Oryzias latipes: one gene and its partner. The protein of the gene in region 1 interacts with the protein of each later gene in a biochemical or structural test. Links are inferred from orthologs where the notes say so. Each region holds a gene or a part of one and is shown on either strand. Other genes may lie near its edges. The genes, in order: disks large homolog 4 and sema4c.

Region 1 (8,154 bases):
GTCCACCTCTGCCTTTACATTACAGTATTACATATAAAGCAATGGGATACATTTAGCTCTTCACTTTTTAATTTTTTTTAGCACATTTAATTACAAAATGTACAGCTTTTTAAATTTTACTTTAGGTAATTAATTGTTAATGAACGATAGATAACCCTGCTGCTTTTAAGATGGGGAAAAACTCAAATTCACTGAGTTGTGATCATATTTAAAAAAGAGGAACATTTCCCAAGATTACTTCACTTCGCTTTTGGGAAGACAAATGCACCACCTTTCTAGGGACAAAAAATCAAAAATAATCTTTTTTAACTCTGGTACATTTGCAGAGATGTGTTTTAATGTGCAATGTCCCTGTCAAATAAACCAATGAAATAAAACAAACGATAGATTCAACGTTTCCAATATCCAAATAAAATGCATCTGGTCTAAGACATGAACTAATGTTTAAGACTGGTGATACTGAGTTGCAAGACTCATTTTTAAAGACCTGGATGCAACAAAAAAAAGAGAAAAAAAGACGTAGTGGTTAAATTTTTTTTTTTTTTAACACACCAATAAAACTAAGGATGATCTCTGACGTCATCTACAGTATATATTGAGGGTTCTGTGTGAATGTGATTTTAAATACATAAATATGTTCTCTTTGCAATTTGGCTGCTACCTACAGGTGTTGCCACAGCGAATCATCTGCTTTCATCTAATCCTCTCTGCCTCCTTCTTGCTCAAACCAACCATCCTCATATCCTACACCCATCAACCTCCTTTTTGGCCTTTTTCCTGCAGCTCCAAATCTCAGACTCCTTTCACCACGAAAGGAGTCTGACCAGTTCCATCTCTCAACATGTCAAAACCATCTCAATCTGCTTCCCTGCATTTATCTCCAAAACATCTAACATGATCTGTTTATCTGATGGATTCACTGATGATCCTTTCCATCCTCATCACAATCAGAGAAAACCTCAACATCTTCATCTCTGCTATTTCCAGCTTTGCTTCCTGTCTCGTTCCCAGAGCCACTGTCATTAAACTAGGCAAAAATAAATAAATATATCAAACAAAAGAAAAGTCACACCCAGCAAAAAGAACTTCTAATAAAGTTAAAAAATGTTCTAGATAAATAAATAAAGATTTTGTACTAAAAGCCAGTGAAAAAAGTCTTTTTGGATTTGGATTGGATTTAGATTTAGGACTTGGAAAAATGCACCTCAAATTATTGGCATCATTATTAGGCCAATTAAAGAAAAGGGCACTTTATATGTCTTTAAAAGTATAGAGTACATTTTAAACAAACAGTTCTGTCGATTGTTTTAGTTTACATCAGTTGTTACTTTTAAGAAAATACTTTTTATAATATTATTAAAAAATGTTTATTATTAAATTCTTTTCAGAGTTGTTATTTTCTGATGTTCCGACTAATTCTCATTTATTTATTCCTTTGCAGTAGTTCCAGTTTATAGCACATCATACAGTTTTCATCACTTCCAAGCTGTTAAACAGTTACTAAAGAGGTAATGGATTCTGTTTGTTAATAACATGGTTAACTTGTCTTCGTCTCTCAGGTGAACAACGTGTGTTTGGAGGATGTGATGCACGAGGACGCGGTGGGGGCTCTGAAAAACACAGCCGAGGTGGTTTACCTCAGGGTGGCCAAGCCCAACAACCTCTTCCTAACCAACTCCTACAACCCTCCAGACCTCACCAGCAGTAAGCCTTTGCCTGAATGTTTTCTAGAGACACTTCGGGTGTCCCGAAAAACAATAACAAATGTCTTTATTTTACAATAAAATAGTTTTTAAAAGAAAACATAAAATACTTTTTTCTGTCTTCTATTATTTCTTTCTTCGTAGAAAAATAATGAACATCAATGAAACGTATTGCTTTTTTACCTTTACATGTTTCCAGAATCACAAAACTGTTACAGTGAAGCATCATTATTACATGAAAAATGGAAGAACAAAAATTCAAATAAGTCCAGGAAAAGAGCTTATAACAATTGTAAGACTAAAATAAAAATCATTCATCCTGCAAAAAACAGAACAAAAAGCTATAAAGAAACACAATATATATATATATATATATATAGACTGTAACACACATGAAAGAAAACAGCAAGAAATAAAAGCCAATTCATATGGAAAAGCTTTTATAGTAGAGACGGAACAAATGCACAACATGAGAAAAAGGGAGTAACAGGAAACAACAAGTAAATCAAAAAGCTGAAGCCAAAAATGAGGCGGATTTAACCCCGGGGAGCATTTAGAGCAGTTTAACCTGTCAGATTCCTCCAGCTGACCACATCTAGTAACAACAACTATAATTAAGCTTCACAGCAGTCAAGTGACTATTTCAAAGTAAAGTGCAGATAAAGATGGATAAGTTGACTTAAAATATATGTCATTTTTTTAATTTGTTTTTGTGGCAAAGCCGCAGGAACAACTAAAAACCCATTTGATACCAAAGAAAATAACACTTTTAGAGATTTACATGTTTTATTCCTCATCCATCCATCCATCCATCCATCCATCCATCCATCCATCCATCCATCCATCCATCCATCCATCCATCCATTTATTTCCTAAACCTGCTTAATTTCCATCATTGGGGGGTCACAGGGCTGCTGGAGCCTATCCCAGCTACTGTTGGGTGACAGCGATGTACACCCTTGGGCAGTTCGCCAGTCTGTCGCAGGGTCACTGTTCTATCCACAAAAATGTCAAAACTGTGTCAAAGAAAGGCAGTGAGCTGCAAGTGAGTTTGAAGTGTTAGTGAGTGGTTAGGCATAGAAATGTTTTGAAACAGTCTTCAAATCTCCCCGTTATTTAAGAAGCTCTAAAAAAGAAATCCTTGATGTATTCAGGACTACACATTTGTCATGCAAAACAGGCTCAAAACTTTCAGTGGAAAAATATTCTGTGCCTTCAAAAAGAACCCCTCTTATAACAATGCTTTGAATTGAACTTTTTGTTTATTTAATATGTGCTGAACAAGTACCAGGTACAATAATTGCCCCCAAAATCCGAAAATGTCTTGTGTGTTCCTTCAGCATATTCCCATATGGACACTGAACTCAGCCACCCCGGTTATCTTGGATCCGATTACCCACAAGCCCTCACTCCAACCTCGCCAAGTCGGTTTTCTCCTGTTCTGCATGGCATGATGGGAGACGATGACATCCCGAGGTGAGGATCATTGTTTAAAACAAAACATTTGCTAGACATAATGATTGATGTTTTAGTAGGAGCGTTAGCAAAGGAATGGAGTATAGTTGATTATCAGGAGTTCCAATTGTCCTCTTTTCATCGTTTCAGAGAACCTCGTCGGATTTTGATCCACAGAGGTTCCACAGGTCTGGGATTCAACATTGTTGGAGGTGAGGATGGAGAGGGTATCTTCATTTCCTTCATCCTGGCTGGAGGGCCAGCAGACCTCAGCGGGGAACTTCACAAAGGCGATCAGATCCTTAGTGTAAGAACACTTTGACTCATCTATTCTAGGGAATAGCTTTAGCTGTGGCCTTAAACACTCCTGCTTTGTGTGTGTGTGTGTGTGTGTGTGTGTGTGTAACAGGTAAATGGTGTGGATCTGCGTATGGCCACACATGAGCAGGCCGCTGCTGCACTGAAGAACGCGGGCCAGACTGTAACCATCGTCGCTCAGTACAGACCAGATGGTACAACCACAAACTCTGCATATGTGCTTGCACATTGAGAGAATTTTAAAAAGCTGTTTCCTGTCAATAACTGTGCCAACATGTCTTTTACACTCCACTAAAACCTGGCTTCAATATCTGACGGTTTATGTTGCAGGGATTTTTTTTCATCTCATAGAGTCTGATTTTAAAATAAAATTCATGTTGAAATTAAGTAACATTTTTTAGTTTTCATATCAAGACTGTAATACTTTCTTTTATGAAATAAAAAATGATTTAATATCTTATAAATAAAACCTTTCTAACCAATATGATAACGCACATAACAAGTGATCATTTAGAGTGTGAAATGTAAAACTTGTCTGTCTCAAAATGTTTGTGTCTTCTCTGCTACAGAGTACAGCCGCTTTGAGGCAAAAATCCACGACCTGAGGGAACAGCTAATGAACAGCAGCATGGGCTCTGGAACAACAACTTTGAGGAGTAACCCAAAGAGAGGCTTCTATATCAGGTCTCACACCGCAAAATGAAAACAGCACAAAACACAGTCATTCCGATACAGCAGCTTACTTCTGCAGGGAGAAGTCCACTGCCTTTGGACAAAAATGGTTGTGTTTCTATTTACTGAAAACTTATAATAATGTCATGTAAAGAAATAAAATTCCTTATATATGTATGTGAAAGAATTGTATCAACTTAGATTAGAGATGGGCAACTCCAGGCCTCGAGGGCCACATTTCTGCATGTTTTCCAACAATCCCTGCTCTGGCATGTTCTAATTGGCTGGACACATCTGAACCAGGTAATCAGTCATGAGTGGGGCTTGTATATCTGGAAATCATGCAGACACACAGGCCCTCGAGGTCTGAAGTTGCACATCCCTAACTTAGATCAAATAAAAAATTTTAAGGACAATATGTAGGTTTACTTAAGGCCCTTTAGGGTGCGCCAGGAATTCTCATATTCTTCAGCAAAGAAAAATGGTATTAAAGTGGTTTAGAATTCAATATGGCATTGGAAGCACTTAAGGTGTAACATATTTGCTGTTAGGAATACTTGTAAATGAAAAACATTGTTCCTTTTTTTTCCATGTTTTAGGGCTCTTTTTGACTATGACAAGACTGCAGACTGTGGCTTCCTCAGTCAAGCTCTTAGTTTTCGGTTTGGGGACGTGCTGCATGTGTTAGACTGCGGGGACGAAGAGTGGTGGCAAGCCCGCAGGGTCAGTCCCCAGAACGAGGCAGAGGAGGTCGGCTTCATTCCCAGCAAGCACAGGTACAACTCCTGAAAAATCCCATCTCAATAAAGTTACATTTAAATCTCTGTTGTGATTGTTTTGTTATTCCTCCTCATCCCTGTTTGCAGAGTGGAAAGGAAAGACTGGTCTCGTGGAAACACCAAAGAGAGGGTATGTTTGTTCTCTGAAACTCTTGCTCCAATCTGTCCTTCTGTGTGTAAATCTGACATCTTCTCTTTGTTGCAGGATCATGGTCGAGACAGCTTGAGCACTCAAGGTGATGAATTGAAACAAAACCTCACTATATGCTAGAATATACCATATTAAAGTGTCAGAGTGGGAGTGGAACCAGAGTGGAGCAGTGGTTAGCGCCTTCACCTCACAGTGGGAAGCCCCTGGTTTAAATCCTAACGGGTCCTGTCTCTGTGCAATTTGCATGTTCTCCTTGTGCATGTGTGGGTTTTCTCCAGGCACTCCGGCTTCCTCCCACTGTCCAAAAACATGCTTCATAGGTTGATTGATTACTCCAGATTGTCCTTAGGTGTGACTCTGAGTATGTATGCGTGTGTGATTGTGTGGTTCAACAACAGGCTGGTGACCTGTCCAGGGTGTACTCCACTTTCTACCAACTGAAGCCTGGTTAGGTTCTGGCAACCCCGTGGCCCCAAAAGGGCTAAAGCAGGTTAAGAAAATGGGTGGATGGATGGGAGTGGAACCACTTTTCAGCCCTAAACTTCATGCAAACTTCTTTTCCTTTACAAAGAAAAATGTATAACTTAGACATCAATTAATTAAATTTAGAGAAAGCCCATGTTCTCTGCTGTTAAACTTTGTAGATTTTTTTTAACTACTAAGAAGTTTAAAATGTTCTCATTCAGTCTATTTTCTTTCTAAACTGGAGAGATATGAAATGCCTTATTGACAAATGCCCTTACAGGTTATAGGTTAGTAAGGTTGAAGTAGGTCAGACGCAGGCACAATGGTAGGATTTTTTCTTTTTTCTCAACCTCCCTGAACCCTACGCTTTCTGCATGGGGCTCGTTAGTGATGTTCAAGTTATATGTGTGCGCCCGTTGTTCGTAGCCTGGCTGTTAGACAATCAGAGCGTAGTTTTCCTGGGCGTCCTTTTGCATCACCTGCACTCCCTGTGCGTGCAGCAAGGTTAGTAAGGAAGCAGTACTCGCAACGTACTAACGACTGGAGTGCTGCGGAAGGGCACTGCACGACATCATGAGTGTTTGTAACTTACATTATCCTTACAAATATTTCACGGTAACACATGCTCGATAATCGTATGTTTCATTTTCATGATCCCCCTTAAGGTGGCTGCATGAGCCACAAGGGAACTAAAAGACACACCTGTGCTGACCTTAAGATGCAGCCACTAGGACCCTCTACGGGCCCGGACAACCCACAGCACCCATGAGGGTCAACCCAACCTAAACGGGTGCTTGTGAATAAGAGCTTGAATGGATGGATTTGCTTTTAGTTGGCATAAGTCAAATACAGCCACGTTCACATAGATTTATGAAGATGCTAATTTGCAAATATAAAACCCAAAAGTTACTTTAAACCTGAAACTAAATTCAATTATATTCCGCCAACAGGGAGAGATAAGAAAATGTCACAAAGTTATGAGACGGTCACTCAAGTGGAAGGTAAGGCTGTGGAGTGAAATGTTTGAAACTCCATTTCAGCATCAAATAAAATCTCTGTTATGATTCCTCTTTTGTGTCTAATCCTGCTCTCTTTTTGTTCTTTTCCCTCGTGATAAGTACATTATGCGAGGCCCATTATCATTCTGGGTCCGGTGAAGGACAGGATAAATGACGACCTGTTGTCTGAGTTCCCTGATAAGTTTGGATCCTGCGTCCCTCGTGAGTAATTGTGCTGTCACTCACGGAGACTGACCTGTTTCTCACTTTTTAAATGACATGTCTGCTGCAGCTTGAGCAAGATGTCTGCAGAAAAGCAATAGCTTTATTTTTGACATTTGCTATAGCATATATAAAATGTACCATTCTGTTTTTTTTACTGTGTTTGACAGACACTACGAGGCCTAAGAGGGACTATGAAGTGGATGGAAGAGATTACCATTTTGTGTCGTCACGGGAACAGATGGAGAAAGATATCCAAAGCCATAGATTCATAGAGGCTGGCCAGTACAACAGTCACTTGTATGGCACCAGCGTTCAGAGCGTCCGAGAGGTGGCAGAACAGGTGCCTATTAACTTATTTGTTGATTCAAAACTATCTGTATGAGTTATGGATAACTGCTTCAAAACACATACAGTGTTTGGTTGGATACCACATACTAAAATACTAAATCAATTTGAAAGACCAATTTTATTCATTATCAAATTTTTTTTTAATCATTCAAAACCAACTCTATTTGGTTAAGAAAAACGTTACACATAACTAGTAACACAAACTGAAGAAATCTGTTACAGTGGGCAAACAGGTGGAGACCCAAGTGCAGCAAAATACTCCATTTGACAGTTGAGTCAATTGAAGGACAAATTAAATTTTAAAAAATCAAAACAAACAAAGGAGACCCAGAAACTAGGACATTAAATTAACACAGAGTGGTGGATAACACTAGAGCAAAGTAACATGGAGAACAACCAAACACACAAAGGAAGGGGAACCTCAAATACAAAATATAAAATTAACCAAATGCAAGCAGCTGTGAGTGGGCAGAACCTCTGGCAGGAGCTACAGGCTGCCTGCACAAAATACGGAAAAACAAACCATCCACTAAAGTTAACTAAAAAAGCGGGTCAAAAAGTGGAACTCTTTCTAGAAAAATATAAATCCTTACATCAAAAAGGTAACTAAAAGCAATTGATTGCCTACAAAAATACAATAAATGACACTGAAATCAATTGCCTGAATCAACATTGACTTGCAAAGTAAAGACTAATTTAAGTAAAATCTGATGCCCAATGTTTGCCTCCATAGGTAAAGTGAGGTGTGAATCCATTTTTAATTCATTTTTATGTAAGTATTTGTGTGTGCAGCACTTTGTGGTACTAGTTATAAAAAGTACTATATAAATACATTTGGTTGATATCAATAAAAACTTAGTTTTAACTAGCCGTAAAAGTATCCTATTGTACTCCAATTATCTTTTTTGTGTTACGCCTTGTTTCTGTTACTTTTTCTTTTTCCTTTAATGAAATTTGCTTTCTCTTCTGTCCTTCTATATTTGCACATGCAGCAAGGGAAACACTGCATCCTTGATGTCTCTGCCAATGCTGTCCGCAGA
Region 2 (8,154 bases), on another chromosome or scaffold:
ATGAAAAAAAAAAAAAGGAAAAAAGTGTCCTGGAGAGAAAAATAGATATGCAGAGGTTCATTTCTCCGCCTACAAGCAGTTGGAAATTAGTTTTTTCCCTGAAAGTGTGCAGATTTTCGACACCTTGTCCTCTTTGGCACATTATATTCAAAACCCAAAAAAGACAGGAAAAACTCTTGTGGAGGCGCTCAGGCTGCAATCTATAGTGGATATTTGGGTTTGTAGAGAGGTCAGGTGTTAGAAACAGGCAGGTGTCTGTAATGGAAACCCCTGCATGAGCCCAGAAAAACCTCCAAAAGCCACTGTCGAAGAACACAGTTCACCAAGCGACCCGTGAATGCAGCTCAAAGCTCCATCGTGCAGAGAAGTGGCCACATATGAACTCAGCTTTAATCCAGACAGAAGGGAAAAACATCCAGCAAATATAACCACTACAAATGACAGCTGTATGCTCCGACAGCCTGTGTTCAGTAATGTGTTTATGCCTAATTAAACTGTTTGGTGCTCGAGTCAACCGGCTGTGCTGTATCTCTGTTTCGCACAAAGCCCGTCTCATGGTTCCCCTGTGTGTTGCAGAGGAGGGCTGGCTGCAGAGGGTGGTGATCCTGGGCTCTGAGGCGCACGTGATCGAGGAGATCCAGCTGTTTGAGACAGCGCAGCCTGTGGACAGCCTGACCATCTCCCACTCTAAGGTAACCAAAACACTCCTGGCACTGACGCACACAGATCAGCTCCGAAATGCGGGGAAGGATATTTTGTTTGCTGAGGAATGTGTTGTGTCAACTCTGGAATGTTCTTGAATAGCTGTGGGTTTCTTCGCGTAAATATCCAGTGTCAGTTTTTTTTAGGAAAAAAACATGACCCTGACTCCTTTTTATTGCTTTGGATTGAGGAGGGTTTGAAGAGGATGGGGAGGGGGGGGGGCGGAGCTTGGCAATGGCTTAAATCACTGCAGTGCCGCTCTAAAACCTCTCACCTTCATTTACTTCCAAATAGAGTTTTTATTTACTGCAGCAGAGAAGCTCATTCTGCAGCAGCGCCGCGGCTCAGCATGGTCATCTCTGTGTGTTCAACTTTCTGTCTCTCTCAGAGATGAGACTTATGTCTCTGTCATGAAAACGCACAAAATAGTCCCAACTCTTTAGTTAAATTGGTTTCTTGGAGGTTCTACTAGAAAATCCCCAAATATCTTAGAAGTATCCTCATTTCTTTGATGGTTTCCTGCAGCAGAGAAATTGTCTCATCAGCTGGTCTCATGTGTCCCTGCAGTCATGCAGCATGGCGTCTGTGGATCGATGGTCTTTTAGCTGCGTGTTCTCAGTGCTAAAGCCCTCCGCTTATCTCGTTAATGCGGGCTTAGCCGCGACAGAAATATTTTATGACCGCTTTTGCACAAAAAAAAAAAAAGGCGCAAACCAGATTGGATTGGAAGAAGGTCAGAGGCTGCATGTTAATGTAATTGAGAGTGATTATCCCATTATCTCCTCCAACCCATAACTCCGTCCCTCGCTGTTTATCTTTCCTCGCCCATCTCTCCGGCACTCTGGTTTTTGGTGGACTCCCCCTCCGCCTCATCTGTCCTTCTCTCACGTTTCTTTCTGCCGTTTCTCCGCAGAAGTACTTGTACATCGGCTCCCGCTCTGAGGTCCTGCAGCTGCCCTTGGCCAACTGCAGCCGCTATCAGTCTCAGCCGGACTGTCTGCTCGCCAGGGACCCCTACTGCGCCTGGGACAACGAGGGGCGAGCCTGCGTCCGCATCGACCTTCACCGAGGGTGAGACCCGTTCGGCCTCTCGTGTACTTGATATATCGAGGGGAATCCTGTTGCTATGGAGGTTCCTTATGGACAAGTGAAGCCTTGAAATCCCATATTTAGATCAGGGGTCTACAACCTGAGGCCCCGGAGGCTCTTTTTAGTAACATGTCTTGGTGCATCAAGCAAAACAAAACTGTCAGATAAGTCAAACTTTATTCATTCATTCACAAACAGTTGAAGCACAAAATGTATCACTCCTCCAGGCTCCTGACTACAGTACCCATAATGCTTCTACAATCCATCATCAAAAAGTGCGGCTTCACTGTTTACCAAAGTCAAACCTTTTAACAGATTTTTGAGCGCCGTGTACCACAGAAAATCTTAAGGTCAGCAAGCACAACGGGAATTCATATTTAAGGCGGACCGGATTATAAGGCGGACTGTCTATTATTGAACAAAATTCAAGGATTTTAAGTGCGTTTTGTGGTCTGAAAAATGTTTAAAAATTCACTTAATTAGTTCCTATGTAATTTTAGTTGGTGGCACAGATTTAACAAGGTACTGGAAACATTCCTCAGAGAGTTAAATACAAATCAGTGTCTTATTTTTCTAAAGGAAGTCAGACTCTGTCTCCTCTGCTCAGTATGAATGTCCAGCTCATTCTTAGTTCATGTAAAAAATGAAAAATAAGAAAGCTAAATCTCCTCTTCTTGTCTCCAGGTCCACCTCCTCCCTCTCACAGGACCTCATGCTGGATCGGTTCAGTCGTGGAAAAGCCAAGTTCGATAAGCCGGTATCCATTCCCAGCCCCGGTGAGGACAAGGCTGCAACTCACTAGTGGCCCCTAGTGGTAGTGAGCTGTCAATACATGCACTGCACCGCATGTGTAGAAAGAGCAGTTGATTATAGCTAAAAAAAAAATGTTTTCTTCTCTTGACCTTACTCCCCCCTCTTCTCCAACCCCCACAGAGCACTCCCGCCTCAGAAACGTTACGGTGGTCGTGGGGTCGGACATGATGCTTCCCTGTCAGCTGGTGTCAAACCTGGCGCAGCCATGCTGGGTCCTCAATGACCGTGAGCTCCAGCTGGGGGACTCGGAGGCACGAGGGCCACGCTTCGACAGAACCCTAAAGGCTCTCGTGATCCCAGAGGCGGGGCAGATGCAAGCGGGCCGATACGTCTGCTACTCTGAGGAGCAGGGGGTCAAGTTCCAGACGGAGCGCTATCAGGTGGCGGTGGTCGCCAGCGCTCCGGTGTTCATGGAAGCCCGGGCGCCAGACAGCAGCATGGGCCTCTTCTGGGTGCTGGTCATCACACTGGGGGCGGCGTGCCTGCTGCTCCTTGTGGCGGCTCTCTACCTGCGCAGGAGGCTGAAGCTGGCGCTCGGGAAGGGGGCTGACATGAAGCCACTCGAAAGCACCCTGGTCTACCCAATCACGCTGCCCAAAGACCCGCCCACATTTGTCCCAAGCAAGATGCCCACCGATGAAGACCGGTTCTGGGAGACGGGTGCAAACTACTACTACTCTGACGGCTCGTTGAAGATCGTCCCCGGCCACGCCCTAGGCCCCAGCAGCGTCAGCAGCACGGCGTCGCCCAGCGCCATACCCGGCCAGCCCATCCACTCCCCCAGCCGTCTCAGCCTCACCAACATTCGAGGCTCCGGTAGCAACGGCTACATCCGCCTCAACTTGAGCACAGCAGGGGAGGAGAGGGCTAGTGGGGCTGGTGCTGGGGGCGGCGGGTTGGGAGGGCTGGGCGTGAGCGGGAACGACTACTCGAGCCCCTTCAAGGAGGAGCTGAGACGCACCCTGCAGCAGAGAAGCGTCCTGCCCGATGCAAACCCAGAGGAGTCGTCCGTGTAGGCGCCTCCTCCGCCTCCACCCAGTTGGAAAACAAAAACAACCGACCTACCTCCCTCCTTTTGAGGACGCCTGCTCTCCGTTAGTGACACGCCGTCGACTCCCATGCCGTCTCTTCTTTTCCGCCAACACCTGTTTGGCTCCTGTAGACATTTCTGGCACACAGCATGTTGAAACCACACGTCTGCACTCCGCACTCGGCGACATGCGCTCTCACGATTACCGTGTCTTTGGCGACACGCCGTCACGGTTTTTCTGCTTCCACTGTGCGACTGCCACTTGTGTAAATTTTGTATTTAAAAAAGGATGAACACAGAGGAGATCACCTCAAGCATGGAAACCGAACTGAAGGGTGTTTTTTTTTGTTTCTCTCTTAAGTTGAGCCCTCCACCTACAAGGAAACTGGGCAACCTCCTGGAATATGGAAGGGATTCCTTTGAGACTTTTACTGCACTTACAAAAATGGAAGCATGTCTTCCTCCCTTGTTTTGTACTAGTGAGCCAGGAGGGGAATGTAGTTGGAGACTCCAAAGACTAATGAATCTCCAGGCAAGTCGACAATCATGTCCCCGTGACAGGAGCTCCTGGGTGGGACAGAAAGGAGAACAGAGACAGGCAAAAACGGCGGAGAAGTGAACTGGAGAAAAAGGACATAAACGAGGATTTCTCAATGAAGGACAATCTTTAAAGACTTTGTACCTATATGAAATACCCGCCCCCTTTCCTATGTTTTATTACCGCTTTGATTTGATGTGATAGTTTGAATTAAGATGTTTCTTGTTGTGCTTCTTTCCCCTCTGTCTTACGAACGACACCGGTGTTTCCAGAGTTTTGCAAAAGACTGACTTTTTTTTGGCTGGGGGGACTCGCTCAGTCCTGCACGCCGCCCTTCTAGTCCAACGCACGGCGGGGTGGGTCGCTGTTTTTGGATGCTCTTTCGCCTGCTCGGGAAAAGAGAAGCTGTTTGGTGCCGAGCGGCGTCACAATTCTTGCACAGTTGATTCCAAACTGAAGAAGACATGAAGACATTAGGCGCAAAGAATGTAGTCGAACCCTCATCGTCGTGACCGCTGTGGATGTTTCATTAAGTGCTTTATATGTAACGCTGTCAGTGGGGGTGGGTACTTGCACTGCCAAGAAGGAAACTACCACTCCGACACACACAGACACAAACACACAATGTAGTACCTGGCATTTTGGGTACAACAGCGCGATTGTGATGCACCTTTAAAGTCCATGAACCCCCTTCCTTCTGACTCCCAGAGACTGACCCGGAGCTACTGTGGATTTATACAGTGGAAGATTCACTGTAACACACACCAACACAAAAAGAACACAGACCCAGTTTGGTAGAAGAGCGGACTGATTGCTGCCATGCTGAGAATTGACTTGGTCCAGGCAGGAAGCAGCTGTGGATCTGAAAAAAGCAGAGGTAATTTCCCTGCCTTTCTTTTTTTTTTTTTACATAGTTTATATAATCCAAATGGTTTTTGACACTAAAGAACTCGAAAGAAGAGGAATAAGCTCAACAAAGACAAATTTCTTCAGAAATTCTGACTGTTTTTTAAGGAATCCCTGAAATTGAAGACCCACTCCGATGAAAATTGAGTTGATGTTTTTTTAACATGTTTTTGGGGCATTTTTCTTACTATGGACAGAAAGACAAAGAAGTAAAAATTGCATTTCTGAGTATTTCTTTATTAAAATGTTGTGAGTTGTGCCAACAGTCCTGCTCCCAACTCAAAGGTAAATCTGTAATGAACTACTGCTTCTCTGTCCTAGAAAACACCAGTGTTTTTTATTTTGCCCAAAAATAACATAATCAGAATTAAAAAACCACTGGGAAAACGTTTACTATAGATTAAAAGATAATTAGAGTGGGACTTTAAAGTCAGAATGTAAATAATAGAATCAGAACTATGGTCTTATTTTTATCAAATGTTTTATTTAACATCATTCCACAGAGCTCCAAATTCTCTAAAGTTTTATCTTTTTCAAATTTCTTGTATTTTTCATTGATTCGTACTTAAATTTCTTTTTTTTTTTACATAGTTTTCTTACATAAACTGTTCTAATTTAGCTTTTAATTTGAATTATTTCAAAGCTTTAAAATATTTTTTTTAAAAGATAACATTATAAATTGTGAAGCTATATTTTATTTTTAATTTGATTAAACACCTTTTTCTTTGATGTATTCTTCAATAACTTGATAACTCACAGAGAAAAGCCTTTTTGGTTGAGCTGCACTCACCTGTGCATTGCAGCTTCTCCTATTTTGAAACCAGTCTCCTCAGAAAATGACACAGCTAGTGTTTCTGAAACCAGCTGCATGTTGGGTTCTTTGTTTCACGCTGGTAACAGGTGACGACAGTTTCATGGTAAAAGCTTGATGGAGGAGAGCCAGCGGTGTACACTGTGGAAGCTCTTTTCCTCTCAGGCGGCCTCTTCTGTTTTTTTGAGCGTCTCTGTCCATGAAGCCCGCTCTGTTTGTACTTTTGACTTAAAAGCTGCCACTTCTTATCTCTTGTTCCAGTTAAAAGTTTAAAGTCTCACTCTAATCGTCTTTGGATCTATTTTTAAATCATTCCTAGTGGTCTTTTAATCATGATTGTGCAGTTTTTAGCCAAAATTGAAAATAAATCTGTGTTATCGTTTCTGCAGAGCGGCAGTACTTCATTATAAATTTACCTCTGAGCTGTGGGTGGGACTGTTGATGCAGAGCAACCCTTCCTTATAGCTGATAGCTCTCTGTTTACATGCCCTTCCGCTACCTGACAGCCCCTCACGGCTGCAACATAAAACTACGTACACACCAGGCATTTTTGTGCATCAAACACACATTCAGCCCATGGTGTTTACACTGGACAAGCAGGGCGGGACTTCGTCTTTTTCTTTTTTTTACTAGTGCATGTCCGCCACCTACAGTTGGAATAGGCTTGGTGCTAAATGTCGGAGAGGTTCAAATCCCACGATTTGGGCACAAAATGGAAACGGTTCGGTTCATTGCAAGCATCCTTGCAATGATTGACAGTGATTACTGCCATATCAGGAGAGTGGCCTTGGTTTATCTTTATTTAAAAAACAAAAATAGGCTCATCGATGTATGTGTTCACCAGATAAACCAGCTACACCCTGAGTTTGGTGAATTTCACTGCTTGCTCCAGGAGCTGTGCCCTGAATTATGGCCACCTCTCCCGGGGCCAATCATCCATACGTCACTACCACATCCAAGTCTCTGATTGGTCGATTTTTGACCTGGATGTGCAATGGCCATGCGTTTTGTACGTAGAGCCCGAAAGGTTTTGATCGTGGAAGCCTGAAACACGCATTTACATTGATGATTTCAATCATTTATATAAAGGAATACCTAATATTCTTTATAAATGTCCTCCATCATCAGAAAAATGCCTCAAGAACACGTTAAAAACACAATTTTCACCAATGGGTCTTTATAGACTGAATGCATTTTATTTATTTATTTTTTAATGTGGAACAATGTGTGCTGCTTCCAGCTTCGACAGCCTCACCTGTCGTCATTTAAAAGGGTTTTCCTCCATGAAGGGTTATTGTCATAATTTTCCTAGAATTCCAGACAGGTTTTTGTATTAGCAAAAGCATTAAACACCAAACAACTGCATTTTCTGTCAGCGTGAGCTGCTCCTGCGCTCCATCTGTGGTTGTAGACTCGAGTTCTTGTCATGTATTGGGTGCTTTGTGACCGGTCAGCCTCTCGTCAAAGATGTCCTAGTACATTGGGGGTTTTTTTATGAAATGCCTTGGGGGGACAGGTGCGTCAGAGAAGCTGCTTTCCTGGCAGCAGATAAGAAAAGAGCCCACACGCGGCCTGCAGCCAGCAGCCGGAGGATTGCATTAAAAAAGAAAGAGATGTGCTCTTGACAAAATATCAGAACAGCTTGACCCGGTTCTGACTGAAACAAGCGGTCACTGACAATTTTCTGATTCATAATTCCTTATAATCTGCCAGTCGGAACCCACAGCTGTCACTTATTTGTATCATTTTGAAAAAACCTTAAGTTAAGGAAGTTTTTCCGAAAATTGATTTCAATATTTCCTCTTAGGCAGAGCTTTTCAATTTTTGTCTGCCACCAACCCATATTTGTTTCCTGTTTTAGCATCCCATCAGCGGTGGCCTTTGGTAGTTCTGCAGATGTTCCCGTCAGGAGATCGGAGGAGCAGCGTGTGCAGGACCGGACCACAGAATAACGCTTCGAGCCCGCCGTGTACAGAGAGGGATGTAGAATATCCGAATGACCTGAAGGCTGAGTCAATCCCAGTGTTGCATGGACTGCACATCATCCTCGTTCATCTTTTTCGATCAACTTTTTTTCTGGACACTAACGCCGTGCGACACTAACGTTCTTTAAAAAAAAAAAAACTGTTGAGCGTCTGATTCCGCTCAAATTCATTGCTGCATTTCAACGTCTTGACTTTTTTCATGTGCCTCTTCGCCTGTTTGGACAAGCCAAAGCAGACTGTGTTCGCTTGTGTTTCCACTCGTCTTCTTCTTCAGCTGCTT

Evidence for each region.
Region 2: the proteins of disks large homolog 4 (region 1) and sema4c form a complex in vitro, tested with the Homo sapiens proteins (2 studies listed by BioGRID and IntAct, with this or other methods). The link is inferred for Oryzias latipes from reciprocal best matches to the Homo sapiens genes DLG4 and SEMA4C.

What each region holds. Positions count from the first base shown.
Region 1 is NC_019872.2:14,404,785-14,412,938, forward strand, and holds part of disks large homolog 4, read left to right. Parts: intron 1-1,559; coding exon 1,560-1,704; intron 1,705-3,043; coding exon 3,044-3,179; intron 3,180-3,308; coding exon 3,309-3,465; intron 3,466-3,567; coding exon 3,568-3,670; intron 3,671-4,045; coding exon 4,046-4,160; intron 4,161-4,747; coding exon 4,748-4,924; intron 4,925-5,014; coding exon 5,015-5,057; intron 5,058-5,132; coding exon 5,133-5,163; intron 5,164-6,493; coding exon 6,494-6,544; intron 6,545-6,661; coding exon 6,662-6,763; intron 6,764-6,933; coding exon 6,934-7,106; intron 7,107-8,106; coding exon 8,107-8,154. UniProt on the Homo sapiens protein: Postsynaptic scaffolding protein that plays a critical role in synaptogenesis and synaptic plasticity by providing a platform for the postsynaptic clustering of crucial synaptic proteins.
Region 2 is NC_019867.2:24,339,102-24,347,255, forward strand, and holds part of sema4c (semaphorin-4C), read left to right. Parts: intron 1-576; coding exon 577-692; intron 693-1,615; coding exon 1,616-1,773; intron 1,774-2,475; coding exon 2,476-2,567; intron 2,568-2,724; coding exon 2,725-3,620; 3' UTR 3,621-5,049; intron 5,050-7,750; 3' UTR 7,751-8,154.